2 linked regions of the Struthio camelus genome follow. The protein of the gene in region 1 interacts with the protein of each later gene in a pairwise test. Links are inferred from orthologs where the notes say so. Each region holds a gene or a part of one and is shown on either strand. Other genes may lie near its edges.

What was found.
Region 2: the proteins of STX5 (region 1) and STX3 interact in binary tests that used the Homo sapiens proteins (3 or more experiments, as listed by UniProt). The link is inferred for Struthio camelus from reciprocal best matches to the Homo sapiens genes STX5 and STX3.

Annotation. Positions count from the first base shown.
Region 1 is NC_090976.1:559,917-570,434, reverse strand, and holds STX5 (syntaxin-5), read right to left. Parts: upstream 4,582-10,518; 5' UTR 4,486-4,581; intron 3,342-4,485; 5' UTR 3,329-3,341; coding exon 3,134-3,328; intron 3,037-3,133; coding exon 2,966-3,036; intron 2,850-2,965; coding exon 2,794-2,849; intron 2,688-2,793; coding exon 2,617-2,687; intron 2,532-2,616; coding exon 2,415-2,531; intron 2,337-2,414; coding exon 2,280-2,336; intron 2,200-2,279; coding exon 2,118-2,199; intron 1,989-2,117; coding exon 1,888-1,988; intron 1,812-1,887; coding exon 1,690-1,811; intron 1,620-1,689; coding exon 1,460-1,619; 3' UTR 1,459-1,459; downstream 1-1,458. Other genes in the region: NXF1 (nuclear RNA export factor 1), read right to left, coding at 824-854; speckle targeted PIP5K1A-regulated poly(A) polymerase-like, read right to left, coding at 4,780-4,899, 7,681-7,737, 7,826-7,968, 8,059-8,114, 8,186-8,286, 8,392-8,493, 9,478-9,621. UniProt on the Homo sapiens protein: Mediates endoplasmic reticulum to Golgi transport.
Region 2 is NC_090946.1:3,779,265-3,789,723, forward strand, and holds the start of STX3 (syntaxin-3), read left to right. Parts: upstream 1-5,827; 5' UTR 5,828-5,972; coding exon 5,973-6,002; intron 6,003-8,193; coding exon 8,194-8,274; intron 8,275-8,349; coding exon 8,350-8,449; intron 8,450-8,550; coding exon 8,551-8,625; intron 8,626-8,741; coding exon 8,742-8,809; intron 8,810-8,924; coding exon 8,925-9,033; intron 9,034-9,226; coding exon 9,227-9,300; intron 9,301-9,413; coding exon 9,414-9,548; intron 9,549-10,459. Other genes in the region: PATL1 (protein PAT1 homolog 1), read right to left, coding at 471-654, 841-930, 1,022-1,233, 1,459-1,548, 1,969-2,070, 2,163-2,357, 3,456-3,530, 3,612-3,823 and 2 more. UniProt on the Homo sapiens protein: Potentially involved in docking of synaptic vesicles at presynaptic active zones. Apical receptor involved in membrane fusion of apical vesicles.

The sequences.
Region 1 (10,518 bases):
CCCCGGTACCGACCGGACCCAACGGTGCCTTCGTCGCCGGCACCGCCTGGGCCGGGGTCCCTCCTGCTCCTGGTACCGCCTGGGCCCAGGATCCCCCCTGTTCCCGGCGCCGACTGGGCCTGGAGCCCCCTCTGCTCCCGGTACCGATCAAGCCCAGAGCCCCCCCCAACCCTGCTCCGCTCCCGGTACTGACCAGGCCCAGGACCCTCTCCTGCTCCCGGTATCGACTGGACCCCGAACCGCCCACTCCCCACCGTTCTCCCGGTCCCGACCAGACCCCAAACTCCCTCCCCACGCGCTCCCGGTACCGACCGGGCCCCGGACCCCCTCCCCGCGCGCTCCCGGTACCGACCGGGCCCAGAACCCCCCTCCCCGCGCGCTCCCGGTACCGACCGGGCCCAGAACCCCCCTCCCCGCGCGCTCCCGATACCGACCGGGCCCAGAACCCCCCCTCCCCGCGCGCTCCCGGTACCGACCGGGCCCAGAACCCCCCCTCCCCGCGCGCTCCCGGTACCGACCGGGCCCCGGACCCCCTCCCCGCGCGCTCCCGGTACCGACCGGGCCCAGAACCCCCCTCCCCGCGCGCTCCCGGTACCGACCGGGCCCCAAACTCCCTCCCCGCGCGCTCCCGGTACCGACCGGGCCCAGAACCCCCTCCCCGCCGCTCTCCCGGTACCGACCGGGCCCCGAGCCCCCTCCCCGCCGCACTCCGGGTACCGACCAGGCCCAGGGCCCCTCCCCGCTCCCGGTACCGACCGGGCCCCGAACCCCCTCCCCGCCCCACTCCGGCTACCGACCAGGCCCAGGGCCTCCCCCCGCTCACCGCTGTACCCCCCCTTGGCCTCCTCCGCCATCGCCGCCGCGCGCCCCCGGCAACCGACCGCGGCCCCGCCGCCGCCGCGCACGCCACGCCCCCCCCCGCTGCGTCACTTCCGCCTCGCGCCGCCGCCGCCAGCGCACTCGCCTTCTGCGCATGCGCCTCCTCCCCCCCGCGCTCCGGCGCCCCCTGCGGGGAAGGAGGGAGGGAGCGCGACCGCGGCGCCGCCGGTTCGAGTCCCGGCGCCGGCGGGGAAGGAGGGAGCGAGGAGGCGTCGCCGGTTCGAGTCCCGGCGCCGGCGGTTCCTGTCCCAGCGCGGAAGGAGGGAGCCGGCGCCGCCAAGGACCGAAAACTTTAATGGGGATCAGGGCCCGGCCCGGGAGCCCCGGCGGGCACCGGCGCAGCAGCCACCACGACCGGGCAGCACCGGCCGCGGGGAGCGGAGCGCCGAGGAGGTGACGCCGGAGCCGGGCGCGCGGGCCGTGGCAGCAGCGGCGGCGCCCGAGACCGTCGGTCCAGGCTGCGGCCAACCAGCCCGGCCCCCCGGGCGAGTCCGAGCGCCGGGGGCCGCCGCGAGCCTCCGTCTCCGAGCCGCGACAGTCCGCCCGCGGAGACGGGGATGATGGGGGGGGGGGGGGGGGTTCAGGCCAGGAACACGACGAAGACGATGAAGAAGACGATGAGGACGAGGAAGATCTTGACCATCAGCCAACGGTTGGAGGTGACGGACTGGAAGTACTTGAGGATCTCGCCGTGGGCGGCCTCCACGTTGAGCTGCGCGTCCTCCACGCTGGCGTCGATCCTGGGGGCAGAGGCGGGCGCTGAGGGCGGGGAGCCCGGCGCGGGGTGAGGGGGGACACGGGGGCCGCTACCTCTGGATGGTCTCCTCCTGCTCCTTCACCATGTGCGCCAGCTGCTGGAAGATGGAGCCCAGCTCGACGATGGTGGACTCGATGTTCTGCATGGTGTCGGCCCGGCTCTGGATGTACGAATCCTGCGGGGCGGGAGAGGGTCGGGGGGCTGCGCGGTCGGCCCCCGGCGTCGCTGCCGCCCGTCCCCCGTCCCCCCACCTGCTCGTGGATGAGCTGCAGCTGCTGGCCGCTCCGCGCGTCCATGTCGATGGCGACGTCGGCGGCTCGCGGCGCCTCCTCCCGCAGCACCGCGGAGCCGCCTGCGGCAGAGCGCGGCCTGAGCGCGGAGACGGGGGGGCCGAGACCGCCCCGCACCGAACGTCCCCCCCCACCACCACCCCATCCCTCCGGGGTCCCCCCCCCCCGGCCCCGCCACGGCGAGCGCTCACCCAGGTTGCCGGCGGCGAGGGGCAGAGCGGAGACGGGGGCGCGGGAGAAGTGCTCGCGGCGGCTGCGCTGCTGCTTCAGGTTCTGGGGGGAGGCAATGGCGGGGTGAGAGCCGGCGCGGCGGCGGCGGGGGGGAAGGCGACGGCGCGGGGGCGAGCGCTTACCTCCGTCCTCACTTCCAGCACGGATTTGAAGTCGTTGGACATGGAGGCCAGCTTGGACTGCGGAGGGGAAGGGCGGCAGGGTGAGCGGCGGGGCGGAGGGAGCCGCCATCGCCGCCGCCGCCGCCGCCATCGCACCTGCAGCGACACCACCACCGTGTTGGAGTGAGTCCGCACGTGGCGCCCGCTCTGGCTGCCCTTGGCCCGCACCACGTCCTGCAGCTGCGCGATCTGCTTGTTGAGGCCGTTGATGTCCTGCGGGGCGGGGGGGGGGAAGGGGGGGGGCGTCAGCGCGTCCGTCCGTCCGTCCGTCCCCGCCGCCGCGTCCCCCGGCCCCCACCTGCTTGATGATGTAGGTGAGCTCCTCGATCTCCACCGCTTTGTCATCGAAGAGCGACTTGCGCTTGGCCACTGCGAGGCGGAGGGGGGTAGAGAAGGTGGGGGGGGTCGGGGGGGTGAGGGTCTTCGCCGTCGTGTCCCCCCCCACCCCGCGTTGCGCCCCCCCGGCCGCACTCACGGATCGTCAGCTTCTCCAGCTTGGCGAAGGTGTTGCTCAGGTCCTTGCCGATGCGCCTGCGGCGGGACGGGGGCGCCGTGAGAGCCGGGGATGGTGTGTGTGGGGGGGACACACGCGTGGGGGCCCCCCCCCAACTTCACCGCGACCCCCTCCCCACCCCGCCATCACTCACTTGGCCATGACGGCGAACTCGCTCCGCTGCCGCGCGGCGCTCAGCGCCGGTCTGCTGGGCTGCAGCCCGTTCTTGGGGGGGGGGGACGGATGCGGGGAAGGGGGGGGGGTGAGTGGGGGGGGCAGCGTGTGTCCCCCCCCCGTCCCCCCTCTCCGTTTTAGGACTCACCTGCCGGCTCTGCAGCGACTTGCAGGCGGAGAGGAACTCCTGGGTGCGGTCGCGGCAGGACATGGCGGCGGGGGGGGCGGCGGCGGTGACGGGGGGGCCGGCGGCGGAGGCGGGGGGCAGCGCCTGCGTCCGGGGGGGGCCCAGGTAGACGCCCTGCTCCGTGTTCCTAGAGCCGTGGCGGCGCCGCGCGTTCATCGGGGCTCATCACCTGCCGCCGGCCGGGCGTCAGCTGGGGGGCACCCGCTGCTGCCGGGGGGGGACCTCCGCGACCCCCCCCCCCACTCCCCTCCGTCAACACCTGCTGGGGACCCAGGCGTCCGGGGCCTCCTGCGGCCCGGGGACCCAGGCGTCCGGGAGCCCCTTGCTTCTCCTCCTTCTCCAACCTTCACTAACACCTTGGGGGGGACCCAGGTGTCCGGGACCCCATTGCCCCCCCACCCCCACCCCAATTCCCCTGAGAGGGACCCAGGCGTCCGGGGACACCCCCCCTCACCCTCCCCACACCCCTACGGTCCGCTGGGGACCCAGGTGTCCGGGAGCCCTCGCTCCCCTCCTCTCCCAGCCCTGCTGACACCCTGGGGGGGCCCAGGCGTCCGAGGGACCCAGGCGTCCGGGGGTTCCCCTCACAACCCCCTGCAGGGGCCCAGGCGTCCAAGGGACCCAGGCGTCCGGGGGTTCCCCTCACAACCCCCTGCAGGGGCCCAGGCGTCCGAGGGACCCAGGCGTCCGGGGGTTCCCCTCACAACCCCCTGCAGGGGCCCAGGCGTCCGAGGGACCCAGGCGTCCGGGGGTTCCCCTCACAACCCCCTGCAGGGGCCCAGGCGTCCGAGGGACCCAGGCGTCCGGGGGTTCCCCTCACAACCCCCTGCAGGGGCCCAGGTGTCCGAGGGACCCAGGTGAGTGGGGCTTCTCTCCCAACCCCCGGGAGGGGCCCAGGTGTCCGAGGCCACCGTTCCCCCCCTCACCCCCTCCCACCCGAGGACCCAGGTGTCCTGGACCCCACTGCCCCCCCCAACCCCTACTAACACCCTAGAGGGACCCAGGCGCCCGAGGGACCCAGGTGTCCTGCAGCCCACTGCCCCCCCCACGACCCCCAGGAGGGGCCCAGGCGTCCGAGGGACCCAGGTGTCCTGCAGCCCACTGCCCCACCCCCCCCCCACGACCCCCAGGAGGGGCCCAGGCGTCCGAGGGGCCCAGGTGTCCGGCACCACGCTGCCCCTCCCCCAAACCCCCGGGAGGGGCCCAGGCGTCCGAGGGACCGACGGCTCGGGGCGACCCCCCCCCCCCCCCCCCCAACGAGCGCGGCCGACCCGGAAGTGCTCGCGGCCCCGCCCCGCCCCCCCCGCGCTCACCGGGCCGCGGCTCGAGCGCGCGGCGCTGCTGCCCGGCACCCACCGGCCCGGCCCGACGTCACTGCCACGTCTCGCGCCGCGCGACGTCAGGCGCCGCGCGCGCGACGTCAGGCGCCCGCGCCTTAAAGGGGCGATGGCGGCGGGCGCGGGTGGGGCCCACCTGAGATACCACCCCCACCCGGGACACCCCCCCCACGCAAAATCGGGGACGCGGGACACGAGGGGCGACACGAGAGTCCTTTATGGGCCGGGGAAAGAGGCCGTTACGGGCCGGGGGGGCCCCGCGGCGGCGCCTCACGTCGTCGCCTTCCGCTTCTTGGATGGCGGCACCGTCTCCATGGCGGCCCAGAGCGCCTCGGCCTCGGCCTCCTCCTCCTCCTCCTCCGCCGCCGCCGCCGGGGCCGGGGCCGGGGCCTGGCGGGGACCGCGGGTGACGGGCGGCAAGGGGGACCCGCCCCCCCACTTCCCCCCGTGTCACCCGTGTCCTGCGTCCCCCGTGTCCCCCCGACATGTCCCCACGTCCCCCCGTGTCACCTCACATCCCCCGTGTCACCCGTGTCCTGCGTCCCCCATGTCCCCCCGACATGTCCCCACGTCCCCCCGTGTCCCCTCACATCCCCCGTGTCACCCGTGTCCTGCGTCCCCCCGTCCCAACATGTCCCCACGTCCCCCCGTGTCCCCTGTGTCACCCGTCGTGTCCCCCTGACATGTCCCCATGTCCCCCCGTGTCCCCTCACATCCCCCGTGTCACCCGTGTCCTGCGTCCCCCATGTCCCCCCGACATGTCCCCACGTCCCCCCGTGTCCCCTCACATCCCCCGTGTCACCCGTGTCCTGCGTCCCCCCGTCCCAACATGTCCCCACGTCCCCCCGTGTCCCCTGTGTCACCCGTCGTGTCCCCCTGACATGTCCCCATGTCCCCCCGTGTCCCCTCACATCCCCCGTGTCACCCGTGTCCTGCGTCCCCCATGTCCCCCCGACATGTCCCCACGTCCCCCCGTGTCCCCTCACATCCCCCGTGTCACCCGTGTCCTGCGTCCCCCCGTCCCAACATGTCCCCACGTCCCCCCGTGTCCCCTGTGTCACCCGTCGTGTCCCCCTGACATGTCCCCATGTCCCCCCGTGTCCCCTCACATCCCCCGTGTCACCCGTGTCCTGCGTCCCCCATGTCCCCCCGACATGTCCCCACGTCCCCCTGTGTCCCCTCACATCCCCCGTGTCACCCGTGTCCTGCGTCCCCCCGTCCCAACATGTCCCCACGTCCCCCCGTGTCCCCTGTGTCACCCGTCGTGTCCCCCTGACATGTCCCCATGTCCCCCCGTGTCCCCTCACATCTCCCGTGTCACCCGTGTCCTGCGTCCCCAATGTCCCCCTGACATGTCCCCACGTCCCCCCATGTCCCCTGTGTCACCCGTCGTGTCCCCCTGACATGTCCCCACCTCCCCCCGTGTCACCCGTGTCCTGAGTCCCCAATGTCCCAACATGTCCCCACGTCCCCCCGTGTCACCTCACATCCCCCGTGTCACCCGTGTCCTGAGCCCCCCCAATGTCCCCCTGACATGTCCCCATCTCCCCCCCAATGTCGTCCCATGTCCCCACGTCCCCCGTGTCCCCTCACATCTCCCGTGTCACCCGTGTCCTGCGTCCCCAATGTCCCCCCGACATGTCCCCACGTCCCCCCGTGTCCCCTGTGTCCTGCATCCCCCCGTCCCCCCAACATGTCCCCACGTCCCCCCGTGTCCCCTCACATCCCCCGTGTCACCCGTGTCCTGAGTCCCCCCAGCGTATCCCCCCAATGTCCCCCCATGTCCCCCAAAATGTCCCCTCACATCCCCCGTGTCCCCTGTGTCCTGCATCCCCCCGTCCCCCCAACATGTCCCCACGTCCCCCATGTCCCCTCACATCCCCCGTGTCACCCGTGTCCTGAGTCCCCCCAGCGTATCCCCCCAACATGTCCCCATGTCCCCCAAAATGTCCCCTCACATCCCCTGTGTCACCCGTGTCCTGTGTCCCCCCAACATGTCCCCCCACGTCCTGCGTCCCGCCATGTCCCGCCATGTGCCATGTCCCCTCAATGCATCCCATGTCCCCCTCAACACGTCCCCCATGTCCCATGTCCCTTCAACATGTCCCCCAATGCATCCTGTGTCCCCCATGTGTCCCAAGTCCCCCGTGTCCCAAGTCCCCAATGTGTCTTGTGTCCCGTGTCCCCCATGTCCTCCCATCCCAACATATCCCATGTCCCAATGCGTCTCGTGTCCCCCACATCTCCATGTCCCATGTCCCCCAATGTGTTCTCCCATGTCCCCTGCTCCCCCGATGTGTCCTGTGTCCCACCATGTCCCCCAATGCATCCCATCTCGTGTCCCCATGTCCCCCGTGTCCCAAGTCCCCCGTGTCCCATGTCCCCCCAATGCGTCCCACGTCCCTCAACATGTCCCCATGTCCCCCTGTGTCCCAAGTCCCCCATGCCCCATGTCCCCCCAATGCGTCCCACGTCCCTCAACATGTCCCCCCCATATCCCCCCGTGTCCCAAGTCCCCTGTGTCCCATGTCCCCCCAATGCGTCCCACGTCCCTCAACATGTCCCCATGTCCCCCTGTGTCCCAAGTCCCCCATGCCCCATGTCCCCCCAATGCGTCCCACGTCCCTCAACATGTCCCCCCCATATCCCCCCGTGTCCCAAGTCCCCTGTGTCCCATGTCCCCCCAATGCGTCCCACGTCCCTCAACATGTCCCCATGTCCCCCTGTGTCCCAAGTCCCCCATGCCCCATGTCCCCCCAATGTGTCCCACGTCCCTCAACACATCCCATGTCCCCATGTCCCCCCGTGTCCCCATGTCCCCCCATGCCCCATGTCCCCCCAATGCGTCCCACGTCCCTCAACACATCCCCCCATGTCCCACCGTGTCCCCAAGTCCCCCGTGTCCCAAGTCCCCCCAATGCGTCCCACATCCCTCAACATGTCCCCATGTCCCACCGTGTCCCCAAGTCCCCCGTGTCCCCAAGTCCCCCGTGTCCCAAGTCCCCCCAATGCGTCCCACATCCCTCAACATGTCCCCATGTCCCACCGTGTCCCCAAGTCCCCCGTGTCCCAAGTCCCCCCAATGCGTCCCACGTCCCTCAACACGTCCCCCCCGTGTCCCCCCCCCCCGGCGTCCCCGTTTCGCCCGCGTCCCCCGCGCCGGGCGCTCACCTCCCAGTCCTGGCGGCCGCTCAGCAGCAGGCAGGTGAGCCGGGACTTCAGGTAGACCTGGAGGGGGGACGGGGACGGGCTCAGGGCCGGGCCGGGGTTTTCGGGGGGGGGGGGACGGAGGGGACAGGCGCGCGCGGAGCCCCACCTTGTGCCGCGGCCGCCTGCAGCCCAGCTGGTGGACGCAGAGGAAGCGGTCGAGGCCGCAGGAGGCCACGAGGGGCAGGCTGGGGTGGCACTGGAGACCCCGCACGCCGCCCGCGACCCCCTTCAGGCACTGCAGCAGCCGCCCTGGGCGGGGAGGGGGGAACAGGGACAGCTGGGGTGAGGGGGGGGCCACCGGCCACCACCCCACCGCCGGGCCACCCCGCCGCCCCTCACCTTGGCGCAAGTCGATCACGGCCACGTCCCCCCGGGCGCTGCCCACCACCACCGAGCTGCGGGGCAGAGCAGTCAGGGTGGGCCCAGGCGTCCGGGCGTCCCCCCCCCCGCCACGAACCGGACTCACTTGGCCCCCGGCGCGAGGGAGAGGGCGGTCAGCGGGTACTCGCCGAAGGTCGTCTCCAGCACGGGCCGCCGCTGCGGGGAGCTGGGGTCGTAGACGCGCACCTGGGGAGGCAGCAGGGTCCGGCGCCGGCCCAAACCGGCCCCCAAAAGCGCCCCCCACCCCAAAAGGGCCCCCCTTCCCCCAAAAACCGGTCCGTGCCCCCCGACCTGGTGGTGCCCGGTGCACGTCACGATCTTGTCGGAGCTGGGCAGGAACTGGAGGTCGCGGTCCCAGACGGGGACGCGGAGGTTGAGCCAGTCGTTCCTCACCTGCGGGGCGGTGAGTGGGGGGGGGGGACGTTTGTGGGGGGACATTTGGGGGGGGACATTCGCGGGGGGACATGCGCAGGGGGACGTTCGCGGGGGGGACGTTTGCGGGGGGACGTTCGCGGGGGGACGTTCGCGGGGGGACACACGGGGGGCTGCAGCCGGCGCGTGGCCACCCCCGACGCTCGCAGGGACGCCGGGACACTCGCGGGGACGTTTGTGGGGGGACACTTGCAGGGACATCGGCCCACGGCCGCCCCCGAGGCTCATGGGGACATGGGGACGCCCGAGGGGGCACTTGGGAGGAAATGGGGGGGGACGCTCATGAGGACACGCAGGGACGCGGAGGACACTCGTGGGGACGTGGGGGGACACTCGTGGGGATGGGCAGGGACACAGGGGACACTCCAGGGGACACGCAGGGACACAGGGGACACAGGGGGATGCTCATGGGGATATGGGGGGACACTCGGGATGCACAGGGACATGGGGGACACTCGTGGGGATGTGCAGGGACATGGGGAAACTCACGGGGTCACGGGGGGACACTCGGGGACGTTCATGGGGAGGCAGGGGGACAGGGGCAGGGCCACAGCGGGCGCACGGCCACCGCCGACGCTCGCGGGGACGCTCAGGGACACGGGGGGGACACTCATGCGGAGGCGGGGGGACACTCATGGGGATGCAGGGGGACACGGGCAGGGCCACAGCGGGCACAGGGCCACCACCGATGCTCACGGGGACGTGGGGACACTCAGGGACACAGGGGTCACTCGTGTGGATGCGGGGGGACAGGGGCAGGGCCACAGCGGGCGCAGGACCACCGCCGACGCTCGCGGGGACGCTCAGGGACATGGAGGGACACTCATGGGGAGGCAGGGGGAGACTGGCAGGGCCACAGCGGGCGCAGGGCCACCACCGACGCTCGCGGGGACGCTCAGGGACGCAGGGGGGACACTCAGGGACACGGCGGGGGGTGACACTCACGTTCTTGGCGCGGAAGACGGGCTCGCCCGGGCGCTGCAGGTCCCACACCTTGAGGCCGTTGTCCCGGCCGCCGGTGGCGACGCGCTGGGGTCGAGCCGGGTCCTGGCGCATGCGGCACAGCCCGGCGCCCGCCCGCAGCTCCAGCTGCGCCCGGGGCCGCCGGGGACGTCACCGAGCGGCGGGGACAGCCCCGGCCGTCCCCGCCGCCGTCCCCCTCTTCCCCTCACCGCCGCCGTCCCCGCACTCACGTCGCCGCCGCCGCCGTCGCCCCACACCTTGAGCAGCCCCGACTCCACGCAGGTGATGAGGGCGCTGCCGGCACGGGAGAGAAGCCGCCGTCGGGAAGGGAGCGGTGGCGGCGGAGGGGACACACGAGCCACCGTCCCCGTCCCCCCCCCTCCGTCCCCGCGGCGGCTCCTACCTGCCGTGAACCGCCAGGCCGCAGAAGGGGCCGTCGCCGCCGGGGCAGAGCCGCGTCTCTGTGAATTTCCCCTTCTCGGTGCTGAAGAGCTTCACGCTCCGGTCCAGGCAGCCCACCAGCACCTGGGGGGCGGCAGCGGTGGTGTCAGGGCCCAGGTGTCCCCAATGTGTGTCCCCCCCCCCGCCCCCGCCACTGCCGTCGGGCCCAGGCGTCCCCGGCCCCTCACCTCGGACTCGGCGGCGTCGCCCCAGCACAGCGCGGAGACGCCCTGGGCCCGGCTCAGCGTCCCGGCGCTCGTGTAGTTCGTGGCCTCTCTGCGCTGCAGGTTCACGCCTGGGTGGGGGGGGACGGGATGGGATTGGGGGGGGCCCTGGGGGATCCTGTGCCCCCTCCCCAACCTGCGCAACGGGAGAGGATCGGCCCCCCCCCCTCGCTCGCCTCCCTCAGCCCCTTGTAACAGCCCCTTTGGGACAGGAGACCCCCCAGGACTAGGCCCCCCCCCCCCAGGACTGAGAACGCCCAGGACAGGGGCCCCCCTGGGGCAGGAGCCCTCCCCGGGGCAGGAGCCCCCCAAGACCGAGACCTGCCAGGACAAGAGCCCCCCTGGGACAGGGGTCCTC
Region 2 (10,459 bases), on another chromosome or scaffold:
GTTGATTTCCTGCTCCGCTCTCGGGCCTTCCACTGCACCCTCCAAATTGGTGCTGCTAGCATTCCCCAGCCTCTCCTCACCCCTGGAGATCCTGCTCACCAGCTTCCAGTGCTCACTGCAGACTGCAAGGAGGCAGGTTACCTCTTGCAGTTGCCCCTCACTTCTCTCGTAGGGGAAAGCTCGCCCCATCCCCTTTCGCGTTCACAGCCTATTCCCTGCAATTGGATCTAGAAATGGTTCTTCTGCCATTGTTTGTTCCATGGCTCATTTCAGACTCTCAGCACAACGGCGAGAGTCACTTGCAGCGTCCCCAACGCCCATTACAGTCCCCACGTGGTGGGCACTGAGTGACCCTGGGCATGCACTGGCAAGATGCGGGTGTGGTGGGAGCATTAAAGTGCTGCCCTGCAAGCAATCACAGGTGGGTGAGACGCGCAGTGCAGTGGGCTGAACACTAGTCTCCCCAGTACCTGGTAGTAATAGTCATCCAGGTAGGGATCAGTGCTCTGCAGCTGCATCATCTGGATCTTGGACACCCAGTCCTTCTCCCGCTGCAGCATGAGGTTGGCGTAGGGGTCTTTGCGCATCTGCTCCTGGTGGCTGCTCCGGTGGCCCCCTCGGTCCCCTACTGAGCCGTTGAGGCTCCGGTGCTGGCTGGCAGGAGGCAAGAAGGGCACCCGTGAGCACACAGGAGCTACAGGAAGGGACAGAGAGCAGTGCACAGGCTAGCCCCGGCAGCACAAACCCCCCCAGAAGAGGGTCATGCAAACCCTCCCCAGTGCCAGCCGGTCCCTTCCCCCGGCCATCCCTCCCTGCTCCTTGCGTGGGGCAAACACTCACTTCCGGTTCTGCTGCTGCCGCTGGTGCAGGAGGCGGCGATGCTGGGGGTGAAGGTGGGTCGTGTCTGGCCGGAACATCTGCGGCTGCGGCCTGAGGAGAGCGAGAGGTTGCAGAGGCGGCAGGGACCCCTGGAGAGCCCAGCCTCAGCTAAACACACGGCCAGAAAAGGCACAGGACCTACCTCAGGCTCTGCAGGTGGGATCCAGGGCCCGGTGGGTGCTGTGGCTGGGATGGAGGTGGAGCAGGGGGAGCCCCGAAGAAGGCACGAAACCCGCTGGCCGGAGACATCATCTGCCCAACTCTGCCCTGGAGCAGCTTGGGATTCACAGAGGGAAGGGGACTCCCAACAAGGCTGGAGACCCGGGCAAACTGGCTGGGAGACATTCGGCCAGCCTGGAGGGGCAGAAAGAATACCTCAGAGTCAGCTAGGGAGAAATTCAGGGCCAAGGAAAAGGGTCCAGCCAGGGTGGCCACTTCTGCCTGGGACAGCCACGAAGGACAGCTGTAAAGCCAGCCCTGATGGCCATGCCAAGGGCTGAAGAGAAATGTAGGGCCCCCAAGCCCTGCCCAGGGAATTGCAGGAAGGGACAGCTGAAGGGGTAGGAAGTGGGGCTTTACCTGGGCTCCTCCAAGCAGCTGTGCTCTCTGCAGGTGGGTGAGGACAGGAGAGACACTGTGGGGGAACGGGTGGCCCAAAAGGGAGGAATTCTGGTGAAAGAGAACAGAAAGAGGACTCTGGTCACAGCCCTCCCAGGCAGGACAACCCAGCGGACAGACGTGGAATGGAGGAGGGCACAAGACCAAGCCCCGTGAGAGTGCCCCAGGCAGGCTGGGAGCCAGGCCAGGCTCCAAAGAGCAGAGTTAACTCTGCCCAGGGCACGGCACGTTGGGGCAGACGGGCCAAGCTAGGGAAGACAAGACAAAGCAGTTTGCTGTCTGCACACATGCAGAGTCCAGTGATCTGAGAAAGCAGCTTATCTGCACAACAGGGCCTGGATTTACACGTGGGAGCCGAAAAGGAACAGGGGAACAGGGTGGTCACGATTTCACGGGAGGTTGGAGGACCTCAGAGCGATGTGGGCCTTGAAGGCAGCACCCACGGAAAGGGGTCAAGAGGAGACTTGGTACCGGCACGTTGCAGAGCTGATTGGGGGACATCCTCTCGCCGTAGGGAGCAGGGTAACGCTGCTGCATGGTGGCCCGGATGTGAACAGGCTTTGGACATAGAATCTGAGGGCAGGAAAGCAATACAATTCAGCAGTCAGTCCGCTGCTGAAACCATCTGAGCCACCAGCCTGGAGAGTGGAGCTGAAAGCAAGTACCTGCTGGTTGAAGTTGGGCACAGCAGCCTGCTTGGGAGGGGTGCCAATGGGGATGGCCCGGACTGGGGGACTCCCGATGACCGGGGATGACGAACGCCGGGGCAGCGCCCGCTCTGAGGGGTCCCGCTCTTCCTCTCGGGCCTGTGGGGGTCTCTGAGGCAGAGCATAGTCCAGCACGGACACCGAAGGCATCTCCTGCAAGCAGAAGGGGAGAGAAACCTCCCCCCAGGATAGCAGTCACTTACTGGGACTGGGCAGACGACCACCACACGTCCCAGAGATATTCCTGCCTGGCTAAGCAGTGAGGGAGACAACAGCTAGAGGCCCTCAGCCTCCACGGAGATATGGCACTCGCAGCACAAAGCAATGCTCTGAACTGCCCACCCGCAGAGCCAGTCACTGCCCCATCAGTCCTCCTACGCAGTCTCTTCCACACCCCACTCCATTTCCCTGGGCACTCGGCAGCCCCACATGACGGCCAGGGATCCCTGGGAAATCCCCGGGCCTGTCCAGCAGATCTCACATCACTGCCAGGATGCCTGTCTGCAGTGACAGCGCTGCCTGGGCACAGCGCGTGAATGCTCCATATTGCCGCTGCACAGCCCTCGTGCATGCACATACAGGCTGGGTTTCCACCCTCACTCACCCTGCAGAGCTGGGAGACAGGCTGGATGCGCAGCGCACTCCACTTGCGCTTTAAAGCCTGATTATTAATTAAGCCGCAACAAACAAAACCCTCTGCCTTGAGGCGCCAATATTCCCAGACCTCACAGGAGCACTGACATCTCTCAGACAGAACAGTTACTTGGGATAACATACTGGCAATAAACCACCCTAGCGTGGCTCTCCAGCCGCAGAGGGAATCAGGAGGGCAGGGGAGATTTCTGAGAGGCATCTATAAATGAACTGAAACACCTTGATCTGGACCCAGCAAGAAGCAAGCAAAGTGCACTGCTTTGCTAGGCTGTTCTGGAGGTGCTTCCCAGCACTGACAAACCTTTTGCAGTATAGCAAGTCTCACCCTTTAGGGCCCAGCTGCCTGACACAGGGCTCAGGGAGAAATCACAAGGGATGTTAGGGAAGTCTCTGCTTCCTCTTTCAGGAGAGGCTCCAGCTCAGTGGGATGGACCAGCGACTCAGCACGAGATCTAGGACGGGCAAACCGCAAGTGCCCAAGCGCATCCACACCATTTCTGCTCTGGGTAGGGTGAGCTAGGATAGGGAGAGCATCTCCCCTCCTCCCCCAGAGAGGTCACAGTTGAGCGCTGGCACATCAGCACCGCAGCATCGTACCTGAGTGAGAAGCGGCCCTCGGATACGCCGCAGGACAGCCGAGCCATCCCAGATGCTGGAGTTCAGCCCTCCTGGCTGCTGGAAAGCAGACGTGGGAGTCAGCACCATGGAGGCCGCCAGGCCTGCCCCCAGCCCAGCCCTCCAGCCTGCTCCCACCTGGGCAGGGGCCCTGGTTTGCACTGCCTGCATGATGGCGGGGTCTTCCAGCTCACTGTCGATGACCAGCCTAGTCAGCCTCTCCGCCAGGGTGTCCTCATGGTCGCCCAGCAGGTCTGCGTCATCACCACCCGGTCCATCCTGCTCCCCAGCCGCCGCGGGCTTGTCTTCCAGCTCTGCCAGCCGCTCGTGCGCCTCCTGCCAGTCGTCGTCTGCGTGGGATTCGCAGTGAGGCAGTGAGGAGGGCAAGCCTGCTCCGCATGCCGGCATCGTAGCTCCCCCACCGCAGGCTGAGCCGCGAGCGATGCGCTCACCAGGGCAGAGACAGGATGGGCAAGGATGGAGGGCCCAGCCCTGAGGGTGGGGGGGCAGCAGGGGCTGCGGAGATTTCACACCAGGCACCGCAGTGGTGAGGGAATAAGGGGGAAAGCGAGCACTCACCAACAGCCCCAGCTCCAAACGTGTCATCGTTGAACTGGTCGATATCTTCATCTTCCTCGCCCAGGGCCTGGAAGGCGTCTTCATCTTCATCCAGTGGGCAGTCCTCCAGGGACTGAGGAGAGCAGGGGATGAGCACGCGACTCAGGGCCGCTTGCTGGCTGCTAACACACTTTGCCAGACCTCCTCTTCCCTTATTCATCTCGCATCCCTCATTCCTGCTGTCATCCTTTACCCCTCTTTAGGAGCCCCCTAACCCCGCCTCAGCCCCACCAAAAGACTTCCAGCATCTTCGCCCCCTGCCCTAAGTTTCCTGCTCTGCCTCGGTCCCTCACCTTCCCCCCGAGCGGCTCTAACCCTCTCTGACTAGCAGAGGGGGCGGCCGCCAGGAGACCAGAGCTGGCAGCGCAGAGCAGAACTCATCCTTGTCCACGCCAGACCTCACGCAAGCAGGTGCCACCACACAGCCCCAGAGGAGCGCTCCCTGCCGACCGTCTCCCCCAGCCGGGGCAGGGGATCCCTGCTCTGCCTCCACAGAGAGAGCCCCCTGCCCCCTGCCACAATCCTCCTTGTGCCCCGCGGCCGCACATGCACGGGGTGCGCAGAGACCTGCCCCACGGGAGCCTGCAGCCCGCCCCGGCTGCCATCTCCCCCGGGTCCCCTGTCTGGTGCCCCACAGGCCCCGTCTCCCCTCAAGCCCTCCACAACATGCCCCCACAGGACCCCTCTCCCCCAAAGCCCCCCGCCAGGCGCCCCACAGGCCCCCTCTCCTCCCTGGGCCCCCGCCACGTGCCCCCACAGGATCCCTCTCCCCCAGAGCCCCCCGCCAGGCGCCCCCACGGGCTCCCTCTCCCCCAGAGCCCCCCGCCAGGCGCCCCCACAGGCCCCATGTTCCCTGAGCCCCCCGCCACGTGCCCCGCAGGCCCCGTCTCTCCCCAGCGCCCCCCGCCAGGCGCCCCCACAGGCCCCGTCTCCCCCAGGCGCTCCCACAGGCCCCGTTACCCCCCCGGCCTCTCCCTGCCCCAGCCCCCGCCGCCCCCCCCTCACCTGGTACCGGAACATGGCGGCGGCGGCGGCGCCCCCCGCCCCGCAGGCTCCGCGCGGCCCGCTCCGGCCCCGCGCCCCGCCGCGCATGCGCCGCCGCGGGCGCACGCGCATGACGTCACCCCCGCCCTCCACCGGCCGCCGGGGTGCCGACGGGGGGGGGGGGGGAAGCGCGCCGTGCTCATGCGCAATGGGTAGGGCGCGGAGGATCCGGCAGGGGGCCGAGCGCCAGGCGGGGGGCGGAGCACCCGGGTGCGTGAGCCCCGCCCCCTCCCCGCCTTAAAGTAGCAGAGTCGCGATGGGTTCTTCTTAAAGGGCCAGCGGCCCCTTTTCTCCGCGGGGGCTGCTCTGCGCCTGGGGGTCTCCGCGGAGCCCGAGCTTTCCCCCCTCCCAGAGGGGCCGAGCAGAGCAGCGGGCACACGCCCGTGGGCACCCCCTCGCACGCAGCCGCGCGCGCGCGCGCGTGCACACGCGTGTACATGCGTGCACAGACGGCCACACGCGTGCGCTCCCATCCCCGTGGCGTTGGGACAGGGCTGTGCCCGCCGGCCCTGGGGCAGCGCCGGCTCCTGGGCCCCGGCCTGGTGCCAGCCGCCTCCCCCCCAGCCGTGTCCCCCCCCGCCATGGGCGCCGGGAGGGCGCCCGCCCCGTCGGGGCTCGGCGGTGGCCGCCCCGTCGCCTGTCCTGGCAGCCGTGGCCGCGGGTGGCTCCACCTCGTCCCTCCCCCGGCGCCTCCTGCCTCCCTCCCGTGGCCGGGGATTAGCGGAGGGACCGCCCGGGCGGGGACGGCGCCGGGCCACCCGCGCCTCGCCTGCATGTAGGCGGCCGAGGAGCAGCCCCGCTGCCCCCGGCCCCCCCGGGCCCCCCGGCCCCGGCACCATGAAGGACCGGCTGGAGCAGCTCAAGGCGGTGAGCGGCCCCGCGGCGGCCCCGGGGGACCCACGGGGCCACCGGGGCGTCACGGGGGGGATCGCCGGGACCGGCCCCACGGGGCACCGGGGGGTCACGGGGGGATTGCTGGGACCGGCCCCACGGGGACACCGGGAGGTCATGGGGGGGATCGCCGGGACCGGCCCCAGGGGACACCGGGGGGTCACGGGGGGGATCGCCGGGATCGCCCCCACGGGGTACCGGGGGGTCACGGGGGGATCGCCGGGACCGGCCCCAGGGGACACCGGGGGGTCACGGGGGGGATCGCCGGGATCGCCCCCACGGGGCACCGGGGGGTCACGGGGGGATCGCCGGGATCGGCCCCACGGGGCACCGGGGGGTCACGGGGGGATTGCTGGGACCGGCCCCACGGGGACACCGGGGGGTCATGGGGGGGATCGCCGGGACCGGCCCCAGGGGACACCGGAGGGTCACGGGGGGGATCGCCGGGATCGGCCCCACGGGGTACCGGGGGGTCACGGGGGGATAGCTGGGACCGGCCCCAGGGGACATTGGGGGGTCACGGGGGGGATCGCCGGGATCGGCCCCAGGGGACATCAGGGGGTCGGGGGGGATTGCCAGGATCGGCCCCACGGGGTACCGGGGGGTCACGGGAGGATCGCCGAGACCGGCCCCAGGGGACATCGGGGGGTCATGGGGGGGATCGCCGGGATCGGCCCCAGGGGACACCGGGGGGTCACGGGAGGATCGCCGGGACCAGCCCCACGGGGTACCGGGGGGTCACGGGAGGATCGCCGAGACAGGCCCCACGGGGCACCGGGGTGTCACGGGGGGGATCGCTGGGATCGGCCCCACGGGGTACCGGGGGGTCACGGGAGGATCGCCGAGACCGGCCCCAGGGGACACTGGGGTGTCATGGGGGGGATAGCTGGGACCAGCCCCACGGGCCACCGGGGTGTCATGGGGAGATCCCTGGGACTGGCCCCACGGGGCACTGGGGAGTCCTGGGAATGGTGACCAGCAGCGCATTGCCCCACATCACCCAGGACATGGGGTGCTGCGGCAGGACCCCCCACGCGGGATGTGTGGGGCTGGGGGGTGCCCTGCTGCACCTTGTCCCCTGGGACATGGGGTGCGGTGGTGGGACCCCACCTGGGACGTGTGGGGCTGGGGGTTTCCGGGCTGGGTGCCTTCCCCCCGAGAGGCCGTGCAGCTGTGGGGCACGTGAGGGGCTAGGAGCGGATGTGGGTCAGCCGGGGCCACGCAGCCCCGCGTCTCCGGCGGTTACTTCCTCCTCCTCTGCGCTCTTCCTCAGCGGCCCCACTGCAGGGTGCCGAGCCCGGGGTGCAGCGCGGGGCCGGGGGCAGCCGGGAGCCTTGGCAGGGACTTAGCGGGGATTACAGAGCCGTCAGCCGCGGGGAGAGGGGATAAAACGCTCGGGAGGGAGAGAAGGGATTAATTTTATTTTTATTCCCGTGGGAGGAGCAGGGGTGGGGGATGGAGGGCAGGGCGCAGCCAGGCGGCCCCCGGCTCGGGGCTCCCAGCCGCGCGCGGGGCCGAGGCGCCAGCTCAGGGGCCGGGCCCGGCCGTGAGCCCCCGGCCCGGGGGGCACCGAGCCGAGCCGCGGCGGCCGTGCGAGCCGGCTCCCCTGCGCGAGCCGGAGGCGCAACGCCAGGGTGACAGCCGCTCCTGGCGGTCCCGGGGAGGCTGCCGAGCCGAGCCGCCGCCGGCCATGGGACGGGCAGCTGGGCCGGAGGGTCCGGCGGGGGCCCGAGCGGCGGCCCGGCAGGGCTGTGTGGGCACGCGAGAGGCAGCTGCCGCCCGCCGGTGCCTGTCCCCGTCCCATCCCCATCCAGCGAGCCCTTAATACGCTGCCGCCGGCCAGCTGTGAGATTAGCCCCGCTCCTCCCTGCGCAGATGGCACAGCAGCCTCTGCCCGGCTTAACCCCTGCCCCGCCAGCCCCGGCCCCAAAACCCTGCGGCGCTCCTGGCCGGGGGGTCCCCTCCGGGCCCTGGCTGGCCCTGCGGCGCCCGTCCCCGCCGGGGCCGGAGGGGACAGGGGCTGGCGCGGCGCCCGTAGCCCCCTTCCCGCCTGCCTTGGGTGGCCGCCCCCACGCCGGGGCGCTCGGCCTCCAGAGGGGACCGGCGCCAGCACGGCGCTGAGCCCCGGGTGGGTGCAGGCTGAGCGCCGCCTCGCCGCCTCCCGCAGAAGCAGGACGCCGACGATGACGCCGAGGAGCTGGAGATCGCCATCGACAACACGGCCTTCATGGACGAGTTCTTCTCCGAGGTGAGCGGGGCGGCCAGGCCGGGGGGCCGGCAGGGGGCCGCCGGCTCCGGCCTAACGCCCACCCGGCTTGGCCAGATCGAGGAGACCCGGCAAAACATCGACAAGATCGCGGAGAACGTGGAGGAGGCCAAGAAGCTCTACAGCATCATCCTCTCAGCCCCCATCCCCGAGCAGAGTAAGGTGCCCCGTCCCGGGGCTGTGGGTCCCCTTGGCGGGGACGGGCGCGGGGGTCCCCTTCGCGGGCCGCCCCGGCTCAGCTGCCCGTGCCCCCCGCAGAGACCAAAGACGACCTGGAGCAGCTCACGGCCGAGATCAAGAAAATGGCCAACAGCGTCCGGAACAAGCTGAAGAGTGAGTGGCGACGTGCCTGCCGCCGTGCCGCGGGGCCGAGCAGGGTGGCCGGGGGTCCCGCGGGTGCCGGGGTGGCGCAGGGCGCCCTGACAGGCTGGGGTCTCCGCTCTGGCCAGGCATGGAGAGGAACATCGAGCAGGACGAGGCGCGCTCGTCGGCCGACCTCCGCATACGCAAGTCCCAGGTGAGGCTCCGGGATGCGGCCCCAGGACCCCGCTGCCCGGGCGGGGGGTGGGGGGCAGCCCCCCCCACCGCGTCCGGGGCGTCCCCGCCGCTCACGCCCCCGTCCCCTTCCCCAGCACTCGGTCCTGTCCCGGAAGTTCGTCGACGTCATGACCAAGTACAACGAGGCGCAGGTCGACTTCCGGGAGCGCAGCAAGGGCCGGATCCAGCGCCAGCTGGAGATCAGTGCGTCCCCCCACCCAGCCCCCTGCCCGCTGGACCCCTGCAGGCCCCGCCCCTTTCATGGAGTGGGCAGGGCTTCACCAGATGGGTGGAGCCAGAGCCATTCAGGCCCCTCCCCTGTTGGCTGAGGCGGGGCTTCTCCAGTAGGCCCCTCCCCCCGGGGGGCCCCCCCGCCATGACCCTCGGTGCCCCACAGCCGGCAAGAACACGACGGATGAGGAGCTGGAGGAGATGCTGGAGAGCGGGAACCCCTCCATCTTCACCTCGGGGGTGAGGGCGCAGGGGGTGCCGCGGGGGGGGGGGGGGAGAGGGCGCAGTGTCCCGCCGGCAGCAGGGACCCCCCCGCTGATGTCCCCCCCGCCCCGGCCCCGGCTCTGTCGCAGATCATGGACTCGCAGATCTCGAAGCAGGCACTGAGCGAGATCGAGGGGCGGCACAAGGACATCGTGCGGCTGGAGAGCAGCATCAAGGAGCTGCACGATATGTTCGTCGACATCGCCATGCTGGTGGAGAACCAGGTGTGGGCCGTGGTGCGGGGCCCCGCACGCGGGCTGCCTGGGGACCTGTGCATGGGGCCACCTGGAGACCTCTGCATGGGGACCTGTGCATGAGGCCGTATGGGGACCTGTGCATGGGGACCTGTGCACAAGGCCACCCGGGGACCTGTGCATGAGGCTGTATAGGGACCTGCGCATGGGGACCTGTGCCTGGAGCTGCCTGGGACCTGTGCATGGGGCCATCTGGAAACATGTGCATGGGGACCTGTGCATGAGGCCATATGGGGACCTGTGCCAGGGGCCACCCGGGAACATGCACATGGGGACCTGTGCATGGGGCCATATGGAGACCTGTGCCTGGAGCTGCATGGGGACCTGTGCATGGGGCCACCTGGAAACATGTGCATGGGGACCTGTGCATGAGGCCATATGGGGACCTGTGCATGGAGCTGCATGGGGACCGGTGCATGGGGCCACCTGGGGGCCTGTGCGTGGGGACCTGTGCATGGAGCTGCATGGGGACCGGTGCATGGGGCCACCCGGGGGCCTGTGCATGGGGACCTGTGCATGGAGCTGCATGGGGACCGGTGCATGGGGCCACCTGGGGGCCTGTGCATGGGGACCTGTGCATGGGGCCACCTGGGGACCTGTGCATGGGGACCGGTGCCTGGTGCCGCATGGGGCTGCTCAGGAACCTGCCCAGGGACCCCTGGCCAGGACCCAAGCACAGGGCCACGTGGGGAGGGTGTGCAGCACGCTGGGGAGGGCGCGCGCTGTGCATGGTGGTCCCGGCCCCCCTCTCAGCCCCTCTCTGTCATCCCCACGCCACGTGAGGACCGGCCGCACGCACCAGGGCAGGGTGAGTACCGCAGCACGGGGCCGTGCCGGGGGGCCGGGGGCCGTGCCGGGGCCCCTGCTGAGCCCCTCCTGCC